Linked DNA regions of Sus scrofa. The protein of the gene in region 1 purifies or fractionates together with the protein of each later gene. This does not show direct contact. Links are inferred from orthologs where the notes say so. Each region holds a gene or a part of one and is shown in the gene's direction. Other genes may lie near its edges.

The links.
Region 2: the proteins of IKBKG (region 1) and ATM purify together in Homo sapiens (affinity purification with western blotting; 7 studies listed by BioGRID and IntAct, with this or other methods). This does not show direct contact. The link is inferred for Sus scrofa from reciprocal best matches to the Homo sapiens genes IKBKG and ATM.

What each region holds. Positions count from the first base shown.
Region 1 is NC_010461.5:125,040,213-125,051,273, forward strand, and holds the start of IKBKG (NF-kappa-B essential modulator), read left to right. Parts: upstream 1-4,667; coding exon 4,668-4,854; intron 4,855-7,304; coding exon 7,305-7,516; intron 7,517-8,266; coding exon 8,267-8,385; intron 8,386-10,285; coding exon 10,286-10,438; intron 10,439-11,061. Other genes in the region: G6PD (glucose-6-phosphate 1-dehydrogenase), read right to left, coding at 364-475. UniProt on the Homo sapiens protein: Regulatory subunit of the IKK core complex which phosphorylates inhibitors of NF-kappa-B thus leading to the dissociation of the inhibitor/NF-kappa-B complex and ultimately the degradation of the inhibitor.
Region 2 is NC_010451.4:36,718,369-36,728,879, forward strand, and holds part of ATM (serine-protein kinase ATM), read left to right. Parts: intron 1-6,280; coding exon 6,281-6,498; intron 6,499-6,997; coding exon 6,998-7,205; intron 7,206-8,291; coding exon 8,292-8,405; intron 8,406-8,761; coding exon 8,762-8,920; intron 8,921-9,377; coding exon 9,378-9,516; intron 9,517-10,511.

The sequences.
Region 1 (11,061 bases):
TATGCAGGGGACGGTTAGATCAGTTAACACCCTCTCGATTTTGCCCCCTTCCCAAGCGTGGCAAATCAAAGCGTTCGCCCACTCAGTTACCTGTGCTTCACCGCTGCTGCCCTTCGCGCTCGCAGCCCCGGAGTTCCCGGCAGTTTCCTGGGGCTGCGCCCCGCCTGCCCATTTAACTGGCGGGGGCGGGCACCTGGTCTGAGCTGACCAGCCTCAGGCGAGGCGCGCGGGCGGGGCCTCCGTGTGCCCCTCCCCCGAGAGGCGGGGCGAGGCAGGTGCGCGCGCATCTCGGGCCGGTGGGACCCCCCCCCCCCCGCTCCCGCGCGAGGCCTGCCGGCCTGACCCGCTCCGCCCCTTGAGCACCTGCGCCGGCCGCCGGGCTGCGGGCCCCCTGCTGTCCTCGCCGCCGCTGCGCCGTGTCCCCGATGCTTCGCGAGTCCGTGTGCAGCTCCCCACAGCTCGCCCGCGTTCCCATCCCTGGCCTGGCCCCGCCCCTACAGTCTGGCTTTCTCGTCAGCCCGGGGTTGTCCTGCGCCCTCAAGAAGGGCTCCACTTCCGCCGGCAGCGTGGTCACGCCCCTCGACCCCACTTGTAGGCGGGGCCCTCTTTAGCCTCGCCCCCTCACTGGACGGGTCGTCGACTCCGATCAAACTGGCCCTATCACATGATAGCCTCGTCGTGGCTCCTCCCCTAGTGGGGGCGGGGCAGCCGACCTGCCGCTCGCTGGATGCCGCCGCCGGAGAGACAAGGGGAAATGCGGGTCGCGACGCATATTATTGAAGAGTGTCCTACGGGCCAGCCGAGCCTGGTACGCTCGGGCTTCCGTCTGGGGACAAGTCTCCCTCGCGCCTCTCGCGGGCCTGCTGGGGGCGGGGTGGGGGCGGAGTGTGAGTGTTTTACTTCCGGATCCCACAGCTACGACACCGGAAGCAGGAAATGGGAATTTGGCAGCCCGAGAAGGGAAGGGCGACCGCGGAACCCGAACTTTCTCCGAGCGCCGGGGTCCGAGGAGCGCTCGGGACCCGCCGCTCCCGCCCTTCTCACGTCGGACCGACTCTGCTGACAGGTGTGGTCCTCTTCTCCGAAGATAGGGTACTATTGGTGGGCGTTCCGCCACCTCCGAGACCCCCCCTGGACGACCAGGCTTTCCCCTCCTATTGGGCCCCGGCCCGGTTCTGCCGCCCGCTTCTAGATCACCCGCCGAGGCTGGCCAATTCAGGACCCAGGTTACTCTGGCGACGAGCGGGGCAGTTTTCGCCTCTCCTTCCTCTGCCGCGGCGGAGTCTGACCACACCCCTAGTTCGTGGATGACTATTCTACTTCGGAGACATTTTCTGTTCATCGAACTTGACTACATTTGAAGTTGTTAAGTTCTTTAAAAAAGCCTCAAGGGTAATTTGACAGCTAAGCATCTTTCCTCATGCGCTTCATTTTGCTCACTTTGCACAACGGTTAATGTCTGCCGGACCTCATATCAGTTCTGTGACTTGAGGATGAATGGGCCATAAGGAGGCCACTATACCTGGAATAGAGTGAGCGAGGGGGGAATAGTTAGAGAGGAAGCAATGGGGGACCAGATAGTGCACGGCCTACTATCTTGTTGTACGGGTTGTGGCTTTTTGGCGGAGGGCCATGAGGAACTATGGTAGGGATCTGGATAGAGGAGAGACGTGGTAGGAATTACCTTTTGGTCTGATTGTTCTGGCGCGGTGGGTAGAACAGACTGTACGTAGGGGGCAAGGGTTGGAGCAAGGTGATCTGCTAGGAGGTTATTGCAGTTATCCAGGTGAGAGATGATGGGGCTCGGATCGTTTTATTGTGAAAAATACCAAAGATGTGCAAAAGTAGAAAGGATAGTATAAACCCAAGGTACCCACCTCCCAGCGTCAACAGTTATCAACCTGTTGCTACCTTTGCTTAATTTATACCCCTCATAATCTCTTATTTTCAAAAATAGCTTTATTGACATATAATTCACATACCACACAATTCACCCATTGAAAGTGAACAATTCACTGCTTTTCAGTATATTCACACACCTGCACAACCATCACCATTCATTCTCGAACATTTTCATCAACCCATCACCTTATCTACTTCAGTTCTAAGCATCTATTAGTCTTTCCATCTCTCTATGTTTGCCTATTCTGGATAGTTCACATAAATGGACTCATAATATGTGGTTTCTTGTGAGCTGTTTCTCTGTGTTGCTCAGTGTTTTTTTTTTTTTTTTTTTTTTTTTTTTTTTTTTTGTCTTTTTGCCATTTCTTGGACCGCTCCCGGGCATATGGAGGTTCCCAGGCTAGGGGTCCAATCAGAGCTGTAGCCGCCGGCCTACACCAGAGCCACAGCAATGTGGGATCTGAGCCGTGTCTGCAACCTACACCACAGCTCAGGGCAACGCCGGATCGTTAACCCACTGAGCAAGGGCAGGGATCGAACCCGCAACCTCATGGTTCCTAGTCGGATTCGTTAACCACTGCGCCACTCCTGCTCAATATTATTAACATGGTAGGGTAGGAATGTACTAGATTGTGTTTATTCATCAGTCGATGGACATGTAGGTCATTTCCACCCTTTGGCCGCTAAGAGCAGTCTCACGTGGACCTGTGTTTTCATTTTTCTCAGGTACATACCGAGCAGGTCCCCCATTACCTTGAACCAAATTCCAGGCACCTTATAATTTCGCTGTAAATGTTTCAGGATGCATCTCTAAGAATGGACTTTGAAAGAAACAACCACAGTACCAAGTATCACACCTAAAATAAGTTAACATTAATTGCTTAGTGTCCTCAAATAGATTCTAAGATACCTTTTGACGGGATTTCCCAATGGATTAGACGTGAGCCCTGAGGGCCAGAGAGGACTCAAGAAGGACTCCCAGGTTGTGTCCTGCTGACCGGAGGGTGGACGTGCTGTCACCTAATAATAAGGGAGGCTGTGGGTGGAGCCGGCTTCTGGGGACTGTGAGCAGTGCAGTTCTGGAGAGGTGAGTTTTGAGAGGAGGATTAGATGTCCAGCCTGAGATGCTGAGTTTGATGCATGGGGGTTAAAGCTGGGAGTCTGGATGGAATTAGCGCTGGAGTAGCTGTAGTTAGAGAAAAGATGAGATCCCAGAAAGGAGCCCCGGAGCATCACAGCATGAAAAGTGTGGCGAGGATGGTCCACGGAAAGAGCCAGAGCAGGAGCAGCCAGTGAAGTGGTGGCTGTTCTGGACTCAGGGCTCAGCGGTTGGTCAGATAGTGCTGGTGGGTCAGGGGGTTATTCAGAGAAGTATCAGTGTAACAGCGAAACGTCCCAGCTTGTTTGGTGTTAAACGTCTCTAGCTGCAGCTCAGGCTCTCTCCTGGAAGCTTCTTTTGGGATCGGCTTCCTCCTCCATGTAGTCGGTTTTCTTGGGCAGGATTTAAAAGGGCTCCGGGCGGGTGCTGTCCCGCAGAGCGCCCCCCTGCCCCCGCCTCTAGTTCACAGGACGATGCACACAGCTCAGCCTGACTCTCGGCCCTGCCACCTTAGGCTGCAAGCCCAGCTCCCGCTTTCGGGTGCTCAGCTCCAGGGAATGCCCACCAGGTTCTGAGTGGTCTCTGTGAAGCCCTTCTCACTAGGTACATTGATTTCCTAGGCTGCCGTGAGAGAGTCCAAGGCAGATGGCTTAAGACAACAGCATTTGTCCTCTCTCCGTTCTGGAAACCAGGAGCCTGAAGTCAGGGCGTGGCAGGGCCCTGTTCCCTCTGGGGGCGCCAGGGGAGGGTCCTTCCTGCCTCTTCCAGCCTGTGGTGGCTCCAGGCATCTCTGGGCTGGGGCCGCATCACTCCAGTCTCTGCATCTTCACGTGGCTTCTTCTGTGTCTGTCTCTCCTTTTGTGTCTCTTAGAAGGACACTCATCATTGGATTTAGGGCTCCCCTGATCCAGGAGGACCTCATTTCAGATCCTTCACTTGTATTACATCCTTTTCCTTCTTTCCTTTTCCCTTTCCCTTTTTTTTTTTTTTTTTTTTTTTTTTTTTTTGCTTTTTAGGGCTACACTTGAGGTATATGGAAGTTCCCAGGCTAGGGGTCTCATTGGAGCTGCAGCTGCCAGCCCACATGAGTGAGAGCCACAGTGACACGGGATCTGAGCTGCGTCTGTGACCTATACCACAGCTCACGGCAATACTGATCCTTAACCCGCTGTGTGAGGCCAGGGATCGAACCTGCATCCTTATGGATACTAGTTGGGTTCTTAACCAGCTGAGCCACAATGGGAACTCCAACAAATCCCCTTTCCCAATCAGTCCCGGTTCCGGGGCCCAGGGAGTGGACCCATCTTACTGCTTGGAGGTGTGGGGAGGGTGGGCATTCCAGCACAGCGACCCCTGCCTCCCAACCTCATCTCCGTCGATTCTCCTCTGTGGTGAAATCGGCAGCTTCAGCGTCCAGCCGGGAGCTAGCCTGAGGCGCCGTTTACGGCCGGTGCTGAACCGTGACCTTTGCGAGCCCCACATGAGGGGAATGTGAGCCACTCGTAGACCAAAGAGCCCTTTTTAGCGCCTTTTCCACTTGGCAAAGTGCTTGTCCTTCTGCCGAGCGTGGCCCTGGCACTCCCTGTCCTGCAGGGTAGGAGAGTTCTGCCTGGGTCTCCTCACGCGATGCCTCTGCTGGCATCTCTTTCAGACGCTGACTTGTTGGATGAGCAGGACCCCCTGGAAGAGTCAGCCGTGTGAGATGGTGCAGCCTAGCGGCGGCCCGGCAGGGGACCAGGACGTGCTGGGTGAAGAGTCCTCTCTGGGGAAGCCAACCATGCTCCACCTGCCTTCGGAGCAGGGTGCTCCTGAGACCTTCCAGCGCTGCCTGGAGGAGAATCAAGAGCTCCGAGGTGAGGGCGGCAGCGGGCCTGTGCCCCGAGATCCCGGGCCGGCGCCTCCCACCTGCCGCACCTCTGCCTTCCTGGGACTGGGGCGGCGTGCACCCGGGCGGGTTAGTGATTTGGTCCCAGCCGCCGCCCCCGCCCTGGTCCAGGTGGGGTTTCCGGGAAGTGGACGCCGAGATCCAGGGAGGCACGCAGGAGGTTTATTCAGAGTCCTCTGGGACCAGCCCTGCAGATGGGGAGGGGAGGGCAGGGCAGCGAAGAAGCAGGGGTGGGTGCAGGGAGAGGCCCACCCTGCAAGGGGCTTGAGCTGGAATATGGCCCTTCTGCGTTGTCCCGGTTGGGCCGACGCCGCCAGGCCCTGGTGTCTCCGTACTCATGTACTGACCAGTCAGTCAGAACCAGCCTTACTGGGAGGGGCGCGGGTCTCCTGGGAAGGGGGCGGGATCTGCTCCAGGAAGGGGGTGTGGTCTGCGCTGGGAACGGGCGTGGCCTCCCTGGGAAGGGCCGGGGGGCGGCTTTGGGAAGGAGGGGCCAGGCGGCGCCGGGGACCTGACGGAGGGCTGTGCTCCAGCAGCACTTGCCGGGGGCGGGGGGTCGAGGGCTTTTCGGCACCCCCCACCCCCCCGCCTCCGTCCCAGCCCCACTCACCCAGCCTCCGCGTCCTCCCCTGTATCGGGGTCACCTTCTCGGGTCCCAGGGGCCATGGCTCCGTGCCCCTCAGGTGTGACCCGTTCTTGGCCCCCTCGTGTGGGACAGCGCCCCCTCCTCCTCGGGTTTGTGCCCTGGGCCTCCGCTGCTGGCAAGCTGCCCCTTTGGTGCAGTAGCCTGGGGCATCCGGGGGGGGCACCCCTAGCCTCTCATTCAGTGACACTCTTGTGGGTGGGAGGTTTCTTTTGGGGGTGATGGGAATGCACTGGAACTAGAGGGAGGGGCGGGTGCACAACTATATGAATACATTAAAGCCACTGAATGACTGTGTATTTTTTTTGTCTTTTTTTAGGGCCTCATTGGGGGCATATGGAGGTTCCCAGGCTAGGGGTCAAATTGGAGCTGCAGCTGCCAGCCTACGTCACAGCCACAGCAATGCGGGATCTGAGCCTCATCTGTGACCTACACCACAGCTCATGGGCAACGCCGGATCCTTAACCCACTGACCAATGCCAGGGATCAAACCTGCGTCCTCATGGATGCTAGTCAGATTCTTTTCCGCTGAGCCACAACGGAAACTCCTGATTGTGTATTTTAAAATAGTTAAAATGGTGAATTTGCTGTTACGTGAATTTTACCTCAATTAAAAACAAAAGTTGTGGGTTTTCTTGTGGTGCAGCAGGTTAAGGATCCAGTGTTGCCACTGCAGTGGCTCAGGTCGCTGCTGTGGTGCAGGTTTGCTTCCTGGCCCAGGGACTTCACATGCCGTGAGTGCGGCCCAAAAAAAGATCTTTAAAAAAACCCCCAAAACAGAGGTTTTGTGGGAGCTGAGGTGAACCTCGGACGGAGGCTTGGCAGGTGGCCGTTGGGGGGGACCATCTGCCTTCGGCAAGAGGCCTTGTCCAAGGCTTGTTGGTCAGCTGCACAGGAGGAGTCATGTGGGGACCGTGGAGTCCAGAAGGTGGCTTTGGAGTGGGGCTCAGAATTTGCCGTAGGAGTTCCCTGGTGGCTCGGTGGGTTAAGGATCTGGTGTTGTCACTGCTGTGGCTCTGGTCGCTGCTGTGGCACGGGTTCAACCCCTGGCCTGGGAACTTCCACATGCTGCAAGTGCAGCCAAGAAAAGGAGGGGAGAGAAAATAACTTGCTGAAGTTCTAGTGAAAGAATGTTCCAGTAGCAGGCACCAGTTAGCTGGTCACGTGTTTTGACCAGAGGGTGACATGAAGCCACTGCCTGCCCCGTGTCATCTGGCTCTGTGCTTGCTAGAACCTCTGCGTGCCGCTGATGAGTTTTGTCGCTCACGATGGCCTTCTGCCGCCTGGGGTGTCCGCTGGGTGTGTGGGGAGAGGACGACCGACTGGTCCCCGAGTTGGTCTTGTGTGCCGGCTCTTGGCTGCTTGTTTGTGTGACCTTCCTTGTCCCGTGAGATGGGTGTCATCGTCCCCGTTGGGACATGTCGATGAGGATGGTGGGGCTTCGGTGACCGGCCGGCTGGCTCCAAGGCTTCCGGCCCCCAGTCTGCGGCAGCAGGGCCACAGGGACGTTTGCCCTGTGTGGCCGGCCCCCTGATCCTGGAGGCAGTGACCGGGTGCCCTAGGGTAGGCCTGCCTCCCACCCGAGCAGAACATAGACGAGTTCCAGCGTCACTTACAAAAAAGGTGGCATCGGACCCAGAGCTCTCAGTGCACCTGATGTGTTTAATGTTTGATTGGAAAAGCATGGGCACGTGATGGGCACCACTGCTTTTGAAAGTGCGCTGCCTGGGAGAGGCCGGCGCCCTCACCTCCCTCTGCGTCTCCTCTGCCGCCAGATGCCATCCGGCAGAGCAACCAGATGCTGCGGGAGCGCTGTGAGGAGCTGCAGCGTTTCCAGGGCAGCCAGCGGGAGGAGAAGGAGTTTCTCATGCAGAAGTTCTGCGAGGCCAGGCGCCTGGTCGAGAGGCTGAGCCTCGAGAAGCTGGAGCTGCGCAGGCAGAGGGAGCAGGCCCTGCAGGAGGTGGAGCTCCTGAAGACCTGCCAGCAGGTAGCGGGGCGCCGGCCGCCTGCCCTCTCCCCCGGGGGTCCCCAGGAGCACCCTCGGGCGGCCGCACAGAGTCGAGAGAAGCCGTTATCCTCGGGGCTCTGACCAGGGCGGGCGGGGGTGGTGGCAGTGGGCGCCTTAGCCAGCAGGGCCTGCGGACGGGCGTCAGGGCGATCGGCAGGCCGTTGGCTGGCTCAGTGGGGGTTCAGGGTTTGGAAGCCGTTGGCCTGTCCAGGGCAGTGGAAACCTTGAGACCGACCCGATCATCCTCAGGTGCACGCAGATGGGCGTGAAAAGGAGGGGGATGAGTGGCGGGCGGGGTGGGTGGCGCTGCGTGTAGGGGTGGGGGCCTGAGGCTTGACCCTGGGCCTGAGCAGCCTGAGGTCTCGGGCCCAGGGTTTGCACAGCCTTGGGAGGGCGTCTGGGCGGTGGGGAGTTGGAGAACTCTTGAGTTTTGGGGCAGGTGCAGGACTTGTGGGAACAGCGTCACTCCCTCTTACCTGCTAGTGGCCTGGGGCCCGGGGAGCGCGCAGGTTTCTGTCACATGTTTGAGTCTCAGCAAGGTGGGGAGACTCCTGCTGGGCTCAGCCCGCATGGGCAGCTCTGTGCTCCTCTGGCCCCATCCTCAGTGGCCTTGCTGGGGGAGAAGCTTCGAGAGATGAGAGGGAGATGAGTCGGGGTGCCGGGGGCAGGAGAGGAGCCCCGGGGGTGGCCGGTCTCAGTGCTGACGTGGCGTGGCTTCTTCTCGTGCAGCAGATGGCAGAGGACAAGGCCTCAGTGAAAGCCCAGGTGACGTCCTTGCTGGGGGAGCTGCAGGAGAGCCAGAGTCGCTTGGAGGCCGCCACCAAGGAGCGGCAGGCTCTGGAGAGCAGGTGAGCGTGGAGGGAGAGCCCTGCCCGAGGCCGCTGACTTTTTGCCAGAGTTTTGGATGATTCCCGAGGGGCCGTTTGCGGGGTGGGGGGGACGAGTCCACGTGATCACAGTGCCCTCCCGGCCCAGGACCCCCGAGGACGGAAGGCCCAGGGCGGGGGCGGAGCACCCCCTGCCTCTGGCCCCCTCCTCCTTTCCTCCCTTCTCTGGCGGCGACTTGGGCCTCCCTGGAGGCCTGGGGCGCCACTGGAGACTCAGCGCCCTGAGTTTGATGGAGGGCTGGTCATGGCCCAGCACACGCCAAGCCTCCTGACTCCTGGAGGAAAGCAGGTGCTCCCCATAGGCCACCGTGTTGTGCCCACGGTCTAGGCATGGGGACCTCCCTCATCTGGAGGGCGAGTGTCCTGGCAGCGTAGGGGACTCACACCAGCCCTGCTGGCCCCTCTCTTCTGCAGAGGCTGCTTCCTGTAGCTGTGCTCACCGGGTCAAAGGGCACGGGCGTCTCTGTGGTTCTCACGCTGCCCGGTGGCTGCCGTCCAGGGAGACGGGTCCAGGCGGCAGGGCTGGCCGCAGCTCTCCCGGTGCGCTGGGCGCTGCGCCCGGAGGCCCGAGGCGTTTCCCAGCGCGGCGTTTAGACGCCCCGCCATCCTCAGAGCGAGCGGGGAGCCTCCCTCTAGAAAGCAGGCGGCGAGGGCGTGTGTGTGGCAGGGCCGAGCCCGCTGGCCTGGTCGCCTTCCCGGTTCCCCGCCGGGCTCGTCTCTACCCCCACTTCTCTAAGAGGCACGTGTGTCATTTCTAGGACACTGCCACGTGTTTCTTGCCTTTTTTCTGTGCACATAAAAGAGACTGCTGGAGGCGTGACGCTGTCTGCAGTTTTGTGGCTGACTCTGCTCAGTTAATGACCCCGCAGTTGCAGGCTCTGGGCATCTTCCTCTCTTGTCCCCCCACGTGGCTGAGATGGAAATGCTGGCTGGCAGCTCAGGGCAGGGAGCCTGCTTGCGTCTCCCATCGCTCGGTGTGGCCATTTAAACAGATCCAGACTTCGTACATGTGGCGGCCCTTTGAGCGCCAGGCCTGTCACATCAGAACGGCTGTCCTCCTTGTTCTCGGGCCCCTGGCAGACAGCACTTCCGTCTGGCGATGACAATGCCGGCAGCTAAGTTTTGTCGGGTCACAGATGGACATCTGAGTTGGATATAGCTGGCCAGGTGTGGAGATGAGACCAGAGGAGAGGGCCAGGAGCCGCCCCCCACTCAGAACAGCCACTGTCGCCCCCGGGACACAGGATGACGTGGCTGCAGCCTGGAGCTGGGGATGGAGGGAGCTGTGAGCAGACATGAGTGTGGAGATGCGAGGCGGGGCCGTGGGGTGACGGGCCCCCATCAGAGGGTCAGGCCCCTTGGGGGACCCGGGTGAGGAGAGCCGAGCTGTCACAGCTTGAGTGTGGATGGATCCAGGATCTTCTCCCGGGCAGGCAGGTGGGAGGATCTCGCAGATGTAGACGTTTGGGACTCCAGATGGGCCAGCCAGCCACCTCCTTGCCACTGTTAGAGCGGTGGTGGCGGGCGGGGTGGGGGAGCCGTGGAGCCACTGACCCCACTTTCCACCCCCCACCCCCGCCTCACCTCACTTCTCACCTGCGCCCGCCCCACCTTCTAGAAAGGCTGTCTTTGCTGACTGGCTCTACTTCCTTTCCTCCACTGAGATTGCTCTGGCCATGGCCCCCAGCACCCACCTCTCGGAACCCCACGGGCAGGTCCCTGGGGCTTCTTTCCCCTGGGACCCCCTCCTTCACCCCTGGCCCCAGTGCCTTCTGCTGCAGTCTTTCTTGGTGCTGCAGGGTTCCTCGAGCACTTTTGCTCCTGCTGGGGCCCTCCGGTGACCTCCCCTTCCTGCCACCAGGGTTCGCGCCACTAGCGAGCAGGTCCGGCAGCTGGAGAACGAGCGGGAGGCCCTGCAGCAGCAGCACAGCGTGCAGGTGGACCAGCTGCGCCTGCAGAGCCAGAGCATGGAGGCCGCCCTGCGCATGGAGCGCCAGGCCGCCTCGGAGGAGAAGTGAGTGCCGGCTGCGGCGGCCTTTGCCTGCCCGCGTTCAGATCTACCCTCTGGCCCACGTGTTCAAAGCCTCGGGGCCGGGGTCCTGTGTGCCACTTGCATGCCCTTTGAGTCTTCTTTAGTCTAGACCGTCCTTATGCTTTTCCCGATTTTTAATGGAGTTGACTTTTAAAATATATTTTTTATGTTTTTTTTTTGGTCATGTCTATGGCATGCGGAAGTTCCCGGGCTAGGGATCGAACCCAAGCCACAGCAGTGACCTGAGCTGTGACAGTGCCAGTGCCAGATTGTCTTAACCCACTAGGCCATCATGGACGTCTAAAGCTGACTTTTTTTTTTTTTTTTTTTTGTCTTTTTGCCATTTCTTGGACCGCTTCCGCAGCATATGGAGGTTCCCAGGCTAGGGGTCGAATCGGAGCTGTAGCTGCCGGCCTGCACCACAGCCACAGCAACGCGGGATCCGAGCTGCATCTCGACCCACACCACAGCTCACGGCAGTGCCGGATCCTTTAACCCATTGAACAAGGCCAGGGATCGAACCCGCAGCCTCGTGGTTCCTAGTTGGATTCGTTAACCACTGAGCCACGACAGGAACTCCAGGAACTCCTATTTTTAATTTTTAT
Region 2 (10,511 bases), on another chromosome or scaffold:
CAAATGCTTTTTCTGCGTCTATTGAGATGATCATATGATTTTTGACCTTTTTTTTGTCAATGTGGTGTATGATGCTGATTGATTTGCGTATGTTGAACCATCCTTGTGAACCTGGGATGAACCCAACCTGGTCATGGTGTATAATTTTTTTGATATGTTGTTGGATTCGGTTGGCTAAGATTTTGTTGAGAATTTTTGCATCTATATTCATCAATGATATTGGGCGATAGTTTTCTTTTTTGGTGGTATCTCTGTCTGGTTTTGGAATGAGGGTGATGGTGGCCTCATAGAATGTCTTTGGGAGTATTCCTTCTTCTTCAACCTTTTGAAAGAGTTTAAGGAGGATGGGCACCAATTCCTCTTTATATGTTTGATAAAATTCACCTGTGAAGCCATCTGGTCCTGGACTTTTATTTGTAGGGAGTGATTTTATGACCTCTTCAATTTCATTTCTAGTGATCGGTCTGTTCAGTTGGTCTGTTTCTGCTTGATTCAGTTTTGGCAAGCTGTAAGATTCTAGAAAATTGTCCATTTCTTCCAGATTGTCAAACTTGTTGCCATACAGTTGTTCATAGTATTCTCTTATGGTTTTTTGTATTTCTGCTGTATCCGTTGTGATTTCTCCTTTTTCATTTATAATTTTGGTTATTTGGGTTCTTTCTCTCCTCTTTTTAGTGAGTCTGGCCAGGGGTTTGTCAATTTTGTTCACCTTTTCAAAGAACCAGCTCTTGGTTTTATTAATTTTCTCTATTGTTTTTTGAGTCTCTATTTTATTGATTTCTTCTTTGATCTTTATAATTTCCTTCCTTCTGCTGACTTTAGGACTTTTTTGTTCTTCTTTTTCTAATTCGTTTAGGTGGAGGGTTAAGTTGTCAATTTGGGATCTTTCTTCTTTTTTGAGAAAGGCCTGGATTGCTATAAATTTCCCTCTGAGCACTGCTTTCGCAGCATCCCATAGATTTTGAGAGGTTGTGTCTTCATTATCATTTGTTTCAAGGTAGTTTTTAATTTCCTTCTTGATTTTCTCATTGACCCATTGGTTTTTTAATAGCATGTTGTTTAGTCTCCATGGAGTAGGTTTTTTCTCTTTGCTTTTCCCATGGTTGATTTCTAATTTCATGGCATTGTGGTCAGAGAAGACACTTGAGATAATTTCTACGCTCCTAAATTTATTGAGATTCGCTTTGTGTCCCAATATGTGGTCGATTCTTGAGAATGTTCCATGAGCATTTGAGAAGAATGTGTATTCTGCTTTTTTTGGATGTAGTGTCCTGAAGATATCAATTAGGTCTAACTTTTCTATTGTTTCCTTTAGGATCTCTGTTGCTTTATTGGTTTTCTGTCTAGAGGATCTGTCCATTGATGTGAGGGGGGTATTTAGGTCTCCTACTGTGATTGTATTCTCATCAATATCTCCCTTTATGTCTGTTAATATTTGTTGTGTGTATCTGGGTGCTCCTGTATTTGGGGCATATATGTTGACAATAGTAACATCCTCTCCTTGGATGGATCCCTTAATCATTAAATAGTGTCCTTCTTTGTCTTTCTTTATGCCTTTTGTTTTAAAGTCTATTTTGTCTGATATGAGCGTTGCGACTCCTGCTTTTCTGTCATGTCTATTGGCGTGAAATATTTTTCCCCACCCTTTCACTTTCAATCTATATGTATCTTTTGTCCTAAGGTGAGTTTCTTGTAGGCAGCATATTGAAGGTTTTTGCCTTTTTATCCACTCAGCCACTCTGTGTCTTTTGATTGGGGCATTCAGTCCATTGACATTTAAGGTGATAATTGATAGATGATTATTTATTGCCATTTGAACCTCGTGTTCCAGTTGATTCTATGGTTCTCCATTTTTTTTTTTTTTTTTTGGTTGGATGGTCTCCTGTTATTATCTGCTTGAGTGGTTTTTTTTTTCATTTTTTGCAAATGCAATATTTGGTTTTGGCTTGTGATTGCCCTGTTTTTTAAGTATGCTAACCCCTTCCCATAAATGTGTGTTTTAGCCTGATGGTCCTGTAAGTTCAAACACTTCATTACTATATTAAAATTAAGAAGAGAGACATACATATAAACAAAAAGGGTTATTTACCTCCTGACATCCCTTGCCCACATTTTATGGTTTTGATGACTCTTTTTTATTTTTTTCTTTTTAATTTTATTTTGTTTGAAGCATGTTCATGATTAAATCTGTATGCTGGCTTATTTGAGTGACTGCTCTCTGATTGCAGTTTCCTCAGTCCTAGTTCTTCCTCTTCTTCTTCTTCTTTTTTTTTTTTTTCTTTTCTTTTTCTTCCCTTTCCTTCCTTTCTTTTTGGTTTAGAGAAGCCCTTTCAATATTTCCTTTAACCTGGGTTTTGTGTTGCTGTATTCTTTAAGTTTTTGTTTGTTGGGAAAAATTTTTATTTCCCCTTCTATTTTAAATGATATTCTTGCTGGATAGAGTATTCTAGGTTGCATATTTTTTCCTTTGAGCACTTTAAATATCTCTTGCCATTCCCTCCTGGCCTGTAGTGTTTCTGTAGAGAAATCAGCTGATATTCTTATGGGGGTTCCCTTGTAGGTAACATTCTGTTTTTCTCTTGCTGCCTTGAGGATCCTCTCTTTATCACTAACTTTTGCCATTTTTATTATGATGTGTCTTGGTGTGGGTCTGTTTGGGTTCAGTTTGTTTGGGGCCCTCTGTGCTTCTTGTATCTTGAATCCAGTATCCTTTAGATTTGGGAAGTTTCCAGCAATAATTTCTTCAAATATATTTTCCATTCCCTTATCTTTTTCTACTCCTTCTGGAATTCCTATTATGCGTAGATTGGCCCGCTTTATATTATCCCATAGGTCTCTTATATTGCTTTCCAGTTTTTTGATTCGGTTTTCTGTCTGTTGACCAGATTGAGTGATTTCCATTATTCTATCTTCCATATCACTGATTCGTTCTTCTGCATTATTCATTCTGGTTTTTACTGCCCCTAGTTCAGTTTGCATCTCTGCAAATGAATGTTCTAGTTTTTCTTGGCTCCTCCTTATCTTTTCTAGTTCCTTTCTGAGGGTATCTGCATTACCGTTCATATCTTCTCTTAATTCCTTCAGTATTTTCAGTATTTCTCTTTTGAACTCCAGGTCTGTCAGACTGCCGAGATCTGTTTCATTGTTGACTGTTTTAGGTGAGTTCTCCTGTTGGTTTGACTGGGAGTGGTTTCTCAGCTTCTTCATCTTGCTTGTTGTTTTCTTTCTCCTGAGGGAGTTGTACTCTCCGTGATCGGGCAGTGTTTGCCTTGTCACTGCCGTGGAATATTTCCTGAGGGCTGGCGTTGTTGGTCAATCTTTTTTGAGGCAGTGTGGCTTTTCTGGAGTGTTGATGGGGCTAACAGTGTTTCTTTGAAGCAAAGGAGGACTTCCTGAGGGCAGACAGGACTGAGAGGTCCACACCGCGATGGTAGCAGATTTCACTTGGCCATGCAGAGCTTGCTCTGGTGTTTTTAGGCTGTGGGGTTCTTGCAGGGGGTTGGCGGTGTTGGGCAGCTGCTTTTTAGGGGTGCATTACCCCCTGGGGGCTGGAGCAGCTATCTGGGGCACTGAGAACCTGAGAGGCTCTTCCCTAGGGCAGCCCAACTCAGAAGGACAGCCTGAGAATGTAGGCGGATCTTTTTACAGTCTGGCTGAGCTTGTTGCAGCTTTTCTGGGCTGCAGGGGGTCCTGCCTGGAGCTGGCAGCCCTATGCAGCTGGTCCACTAGAGCATCCCCTGGGGGCTTGGGCGGGTAGCAGGGCCTTTGGAAACCGAAGAGGCTCCTCCCCGGGGCAACCCGACTCAGAAAAACCGTCCGAGAATTAGGCCGATCTATTCACAGCCTGGCTAAGCTTGTTCTAGCTTTTCTAGGCTGCAGGCCTTTTCTCGGGGGCTGGTGCTGTTTGGTGCTGCTCTGCGGAAGTGTAGCCCCTCCAAAGGGCAAGCAGGCCTGTGCAGGGACAGCCCCTGCGGTGGTAGGCTTCAGGCAATTGTTGAGGCCAGCCCTCCTGGATGGCAGGCAGTCCCAGGTCCGTGAGAGCGTAGGGCGTGGCGGGGGTGGGGGGAGGGGATGCACTGGGAAGCAGAGTTTTCAGCTAGCTAGCTGGCCTGTAAGCTTGCTGTGGCGTGGGGGGTATTCTATGGGGACCCACCCCTTCTTCCCTCCCCTCCCCAGCACGGGCGCAGACCAGGCTCTTCTCCCAGGTTCCCTCTGATGTGGCTTTCCCCTTCCCCACTCCTGGAGTATTGCTCCCTTCCTCTGCGACAGCTTTGTTTTCTAGTCTCCCAGGCAGTCTCTGCCCCGTCAACTGGTTTCTAGACCTCCCAAGCATTTTCCGCTCTGCCCCGCCCCCCTATCCCGGGGACTAATCTCTGGAGCCGAGGTCTCGGTGCCCAGCCCCCACCCAGGCGTCCCCCGGCTCCCTCTCGGGGACTAACCTTCGGGGGCGAGGTCTCGGTGCCCAGCCCCCCTCCCAGGCGTCCCCCGGCCCTTTCTCAGGGATTAACCTTTGGCGGCGAGGTCTCGGTGCCCAGCCCCCACCCAGGCGTCCCCCGGCCCCCTCTCGGGGACTAACCTTCAGAGGCGAGGTCTCAGTGCCCAGCCCCCACCCAGGCGTCTCAATTTTTGGTGACTCTGCCCGTAGTTCAGATGGTCCGTTGGGTTCTTGATCGGCTTTTCCGTACTCCAACTTACTGCTACACTCTTCTCTGCATCTGGAGATTCCTCCGGTTCGTTTGATCTTTCGCCCGGTAGGTGACTTTCCAGGGTGCGGGATCCCTTTCTCCTCCGCAGTTCCCTTTCGGGAGCCTTCCCTCGCTCGGATTCGCCTTCTCTCACTCTCCTCTTTTCTCCTGTTCTGCCCAATAATGTCACGAGTTTCTTGCCGTTATTGGAGTTTAGGTTCCTCTGCCAGCGATTGTTTGCTGTTCTGTGCGAGTCATTTATTCTGTAGATGTGCTTTTTTTGTTGTGTTTGTGGGAGAGGGCGAGCGTGTCTTCCTACTCCTCCGCCATCTTGTCCTCTCTCCCAGTCTTTTTGCTATTTCTTGGGCCGCTCCCGCGGCATATGGAGGTTCCCAGGCTAGGGGTCGAATCGGAGCTGTAGCCACCGGCCTCCACCACAGCCGCAGCAACGCAGGATCCGAGCCACGTCTGCAACCTACACCACAGCTCACGGCAACGCTGGATCGTTAACCCACTGAGCAAGGGCAGGGACCGAACCTGCAACTTCATGGTTCCTAGTCGGATTCATCAACCACTGCGCCACGACAGGAACTCCTAACAAGTTATATTTGATAATTTCTCCACGTATTTATCTGGAAAAATAGCTGACTAAGGAGTATTCAAGTCAGCCTTTATTATTCACTTTTAGCCCAACCCTCCAAGTAGGATGGACTCCAGTCTTCTCCCTACTTTTGACCTTCCTGTTTCTCTGTCTTTAACAAGTTTTAACAATAGCTAGTTTAACAAATTTTAAAAAGAGCTAATTCACCAAATAAATGAACATTAAAAGCATAATGTGTGGAGTTCCCATCTTGGCGCAGTGGAAACGAATCTGACTGGTATCCAAGAGGATGATCCCTGGCCTCGCTCAGTGGGTTAAGGATCCCGAGTTGCTGTGAACTGTGGTATAGGTTGCAGATGAGGCTTGAATCTGGCGTTGCTGTGTCTGTGGCGTAGGCCAGCAACTACAGCTCCAATTTGATGCCTAACCTGGGAACCCCCATATGCCATATGTGGAACCTTAAAAAAAAGACCAATAAGTCAATAAATAAAAGCATAACATTTTTAAAACAAACTTTGTAGAACTTTTTGTTTTTGCATAGTTCTTTACAAATATTAGCTGTTGTGGTTATTTTTGCACTGTCAAGGTTCTTTTTGAAAAGTCAAGAAAAGAATTCCCAATGTGCTCAGCTGGTTAAGAGTCCAGTGTTGTCTATATGAGGAGGCAGGTTTGATCCCTGGCCTTGCTCAGTGGATTAGGGATCCATTGTTGCTGCAAGCCATGGGGTAGGTCACAGATGCAGCTAAGATCTGGTGTGGCTGTGGCATAGGCCAGCAGCTGCAGCTCTGTTTTGACCCCTAGCCTGAGACCTTCCATATGCCAGAGGTGTGGCCATAAAAAGAAGGGGGAAAAAAGCTAAATTCATATAATTTAGGTTTTATATATATATATATATATGCTAAACTTTAGTATGGATATTTCTTTAATCTGAGTAATTCTTTAGATGCATTTAATATCTGTAAATGTAATATAAATTGCTTGTGTTTTTGTGAAGGCAGTGGAACTTGCTGGAAATTATGACGGAGAAAGCAATGATGAGCTCAGAAATGGAAAAATGAAGGCATTTCTCTCTTTAGCACGGTTCTCAGATACTCAGTACCAAAGAATTGAAAACTACATGAAATCATCAGAATTTGAAAACAAGCAGGCTCTTCTGAAAAGAGCCAAAGAGGAAGTGGGCCTTCTTAGGGAACATAAAATTCAAACCAACAGGTAATAAGGGATCTGCAAGTGACAAGATACACAGAAATACAGCAACTCTGTATACACGCAGAGATACAGAACCAGATAGGAATTCATGCTGTGGTTCTAAGCTGATTGTAGTATATTGATAATTAGCTTTTTGTTTTTCTCTTTTAGTTTTTTTCTATCTACATAGTTGAAAAAGAGGTAGGGTGAAATTAAATGGGGAAGAAGTACCTATTTTGATGTAATTTAATCCTTTATTTACACCTGCCTTTGGTCTATATATTTTAGTGCAGGTAGAGAATAAAGCTAATGAAGTACCGTGGGTAGAGTCTGCTTTGTCCTTGGTTGCTTAGGATACTTTTGAAGTGTACAGACTTAAAGACAAAAGTTTAAGATTTTTACCTCTATAATTCTTAGAATTTTGCTTTTTCTCCTGGCATGGACACTTGATTTTTCATTTTTGTTTTATATTTCATATAAAATCTGATGACTCTTGTGTTTTACTTTAATCATCCAATGTAAGATACACAATAAAGGTTCAGCGAGAGCTGGAGCTGGATGAAGGTGCTCTCCGTGCATTAAAAAAGGATCGTAAACGTTTCTTATGTAAAGCAGTTGAAAATTACATCAATTGCTTATTAAGTGGAGAAGGGCATGATATGTGGATATTCCGTCTTTGTTCCCTCTGGCTTGAAAATTCTGGAGTTTCTGAAGTCAATGGCATGATGAAGGCAAGTTTTCTTTTTCAACCCAATATTCTACTCTGTGCTTTAAAAGTTTAGACATAAGCCCCTCAATGTCATGTATTTTGTATAATTTGTATCCTTGACACATGGTTCAGAGCTCTACACAAGGTGTTTGATCAGCTCTTAATGATAAGGATTTATGGGGAGTTCCTGTTGTGGCTCTGTAGTTATGAACCCAATTAGTATCCATGAAGATGTGGGTTTAATCCCTGGGCTTGCTCAGTGGATTAAGGATCTGGCATGCCACAAGGTGAGGTGTAGATCGCAGATGTGGCTTGGATCTTGCGTTGCTGTGGCTGTGGTGTAGGCCAGCAGCTGCAGCTCCGATTGGACCCCTAGCCTGGGAACTTTCTTTTCCTCTGTCTTTGCAATTATCATAGGAAAGTACCCCAAATGGGAGATTGGAAAAGCAATTGAAAATGATGTGATTATTCTTTTCTGTTTTGTTTGTTTGTTTTTACAGTAAATTACTTAAAAAAGATTTTAAGAAAGCATTAAAGTAGCAGCATTTTGTAAATTTTTATTTAAAAATCTTAGATTTTATTGATGACACCTAATATTAAAGATATGTTGACAAGATATATATAGGCAATCAGTTTGAAACTTCAAAAGTAAAATGGTCTTCTGGCTGAGAAAAATGATAAGATTCATCATAGATACAACCAATCTAGTGTACATTAGATCTTATTACTTTTAGCATGTAGGAAAAAATAGTTATTCCGTCTTACTCATGCTGACCTCTCAGGAGTTCAGATCACAATCATCCTCAGATCCTCATTTGTCCCCCTTGGATTCACTGGAATATAAGCAGTGCCAAGTATTGCAGTTCTGAATACACTTTAATTTAGATTCAAATATTATGACTTAGTAATGAATCAATCTAGAATAACCACCAGAAAGACTTTAAAGTAAATGATGAGGAAAAAGGTGTGGTTAGTGAAGTTTTACTAACACCCTCTAGATGACTGCACCAGTAGAGGAGCTTTATCTTAGAGTAATTTATTTACTTAGATGTGATACTATTTGAAATGCATTGCTTTTTAATTTTGTATTTTTTTTTTTTAATGGCAGAGAGATGGAATGAAGATCCCATCATATAAGTTTTTGCCCCTCATGTACCAGTTGGCTGCTAGAATGGGGACCAAGATGATGGGAGGCCTAGGATTTCACGACGTCCTCAATAGTGTAAGTAAATGTGACCTTCTCGGCGCAATTGCTGTCCTTTTTTGTTATTATATGCTACTGCTCCACTTTAGGACGTGGCATCCAGGACGGTTTCGATCAGCCTATTTATTATGTTAAATAAGGGCGAGAATAAAGATTTCCTTGTGTCTCCTCATACTCCACATTAGTTAGTTTCTCCCTTTCTAATTCTTCATGTCCCTTTGTCTCTTGTCTGTCTTACACACACACATACCACTCACTGCAGCATCTAGGACAGTAACACCTATCTTAATGTTCAGCCAAATTTGAAAGTTTATGGATTTTCTTTTTTTGTTTGTTTGTTTCCATATAACTAACAGTTCTTAATTTTATTACAGCTCATCTCTAGAATTTCAGTGGATCACCCTCATCATACTTTGTTTATAATATTGGCCTTAGCAAATGCAAACAAAGATGAATTTTTGACCAAACCAGAGGCAGCAAGAAGTAGTAGAATAACTAAAAATACACCTAAAGAAAGCTCTCAGCTTGATGAGGTATTTAGATTGAACATGTATACCTTTTTGAATTGTGATATTTATTTTTTCCCAAAATATTCCTTTCTTAAGTCTCAGGGATTCTAAAAGTATGTTGTTGACAAACATTGAGTTTGCAAATCCTTTGTTATTAAAATGGCACCTAAAATTGGTTTAAAAATCTTGAGTATTTCTCAAAGCATAGGAGATATCAATAGTATTTTGCCCTTTTTCCTCACATCAGTGAGCTAAGAAAATACTGATTGTACAAGGCATCCAAGGCATTTACTCTTGAGGTTATTATAACTTTGATGTGCTGCATTCATAATAAGGTGACTGTTTTGTTTGTATCTGAGGGATTATAATCTTTCCATTGTCTAGATATGTGTATAAATTGTTTTTCCTTTTTTTATTATAACTCTGAAACGTTTGAGTTATATTTGCTTATGTACTATATTTTGTTTGTTTTTATTAATAGGATCGAACTGAGGCTGCAAACAAAGTAATATGTACTCTCAGAAACAGGAGACGTCAGATGGTCAGAAGTGTTGAAGCACTCTGTGATGCTTACATTATATTAGCAAACTTAGATGCCACTCAGTGGAGGACTCAGAGAAGTATGCGATTTGAAAGAAGGAGCATTGCTTTCTTGCGGTGTTATTCTCTGTAGGGATATATTAATTACAGAGCCTAATGATGTAAATCTGTTCACCTCACACACACTAATTATAGATATGACAGAATTGATGATTACAACTCACAGATGATCCAACTCACAGAAAAACCTTTTTTTTAATCTAATAGCTTCAACGCCCTCCAGTCAGTTTTTCACTTAATATCTTTTATTAGAACTGGTAACAGGTGACTGCATGCTAGGGCTTAAAAATGGAAAGGCCTTACCTTTTTCTCCATCACTCTGCTTCCTGGTCTCTTTAAATAATTATAAGCAGCTGTAGTATTTGGCTGTATATTTCTCTCCCCATATTTTATTTTTAAATTTTATTTATTTTATTTTTATTTTTTGCTTTTTAGGGCTACACCCACAGCATATGGAGGTTCCCAGGCTAGGGGTTAAATCAGAGCCGTAGCTGCTGGCCTACACCACAACCATAGCAACTCCTATACCACAGCTCATGGCGACACCAGATCCTTAACCCACTGAGTGAGGCCAGGGATCGAACCTGCAAACCTCATGGTTCCTAGTCAGATTTGTTTCCCCTGCGCCACGACGGGGACTTCCTCTCCCCATATTTTAGTAATTATAATATTTTTTCTGTTTGGAATCATCTTCACATTTAAATTCTTTTTTTTTTTTTTCTCTTTTTAGGGCCACTCCTGTGGCATATGGAAGTTCCCGGGCTAGGAGTTGAATCAGAGCTGCAGCTGCTGGCCTGTGTCACACCAACGCAAGATCCATGCTGTGTCTGTGACCTACAACCACATCTCATGGCAACACCAGATCGTTAATCCATTGAGTGACTCCAGGGATCAAATCCATATCCTCATGGATACTATGCGGGTTTGTTACCACTGAACCACAACGGACACCCCTCTATCTTCACATTTAAATTCTTATTATTTTAAAGTAAGAATGAGACTTCTCATTGTGTTC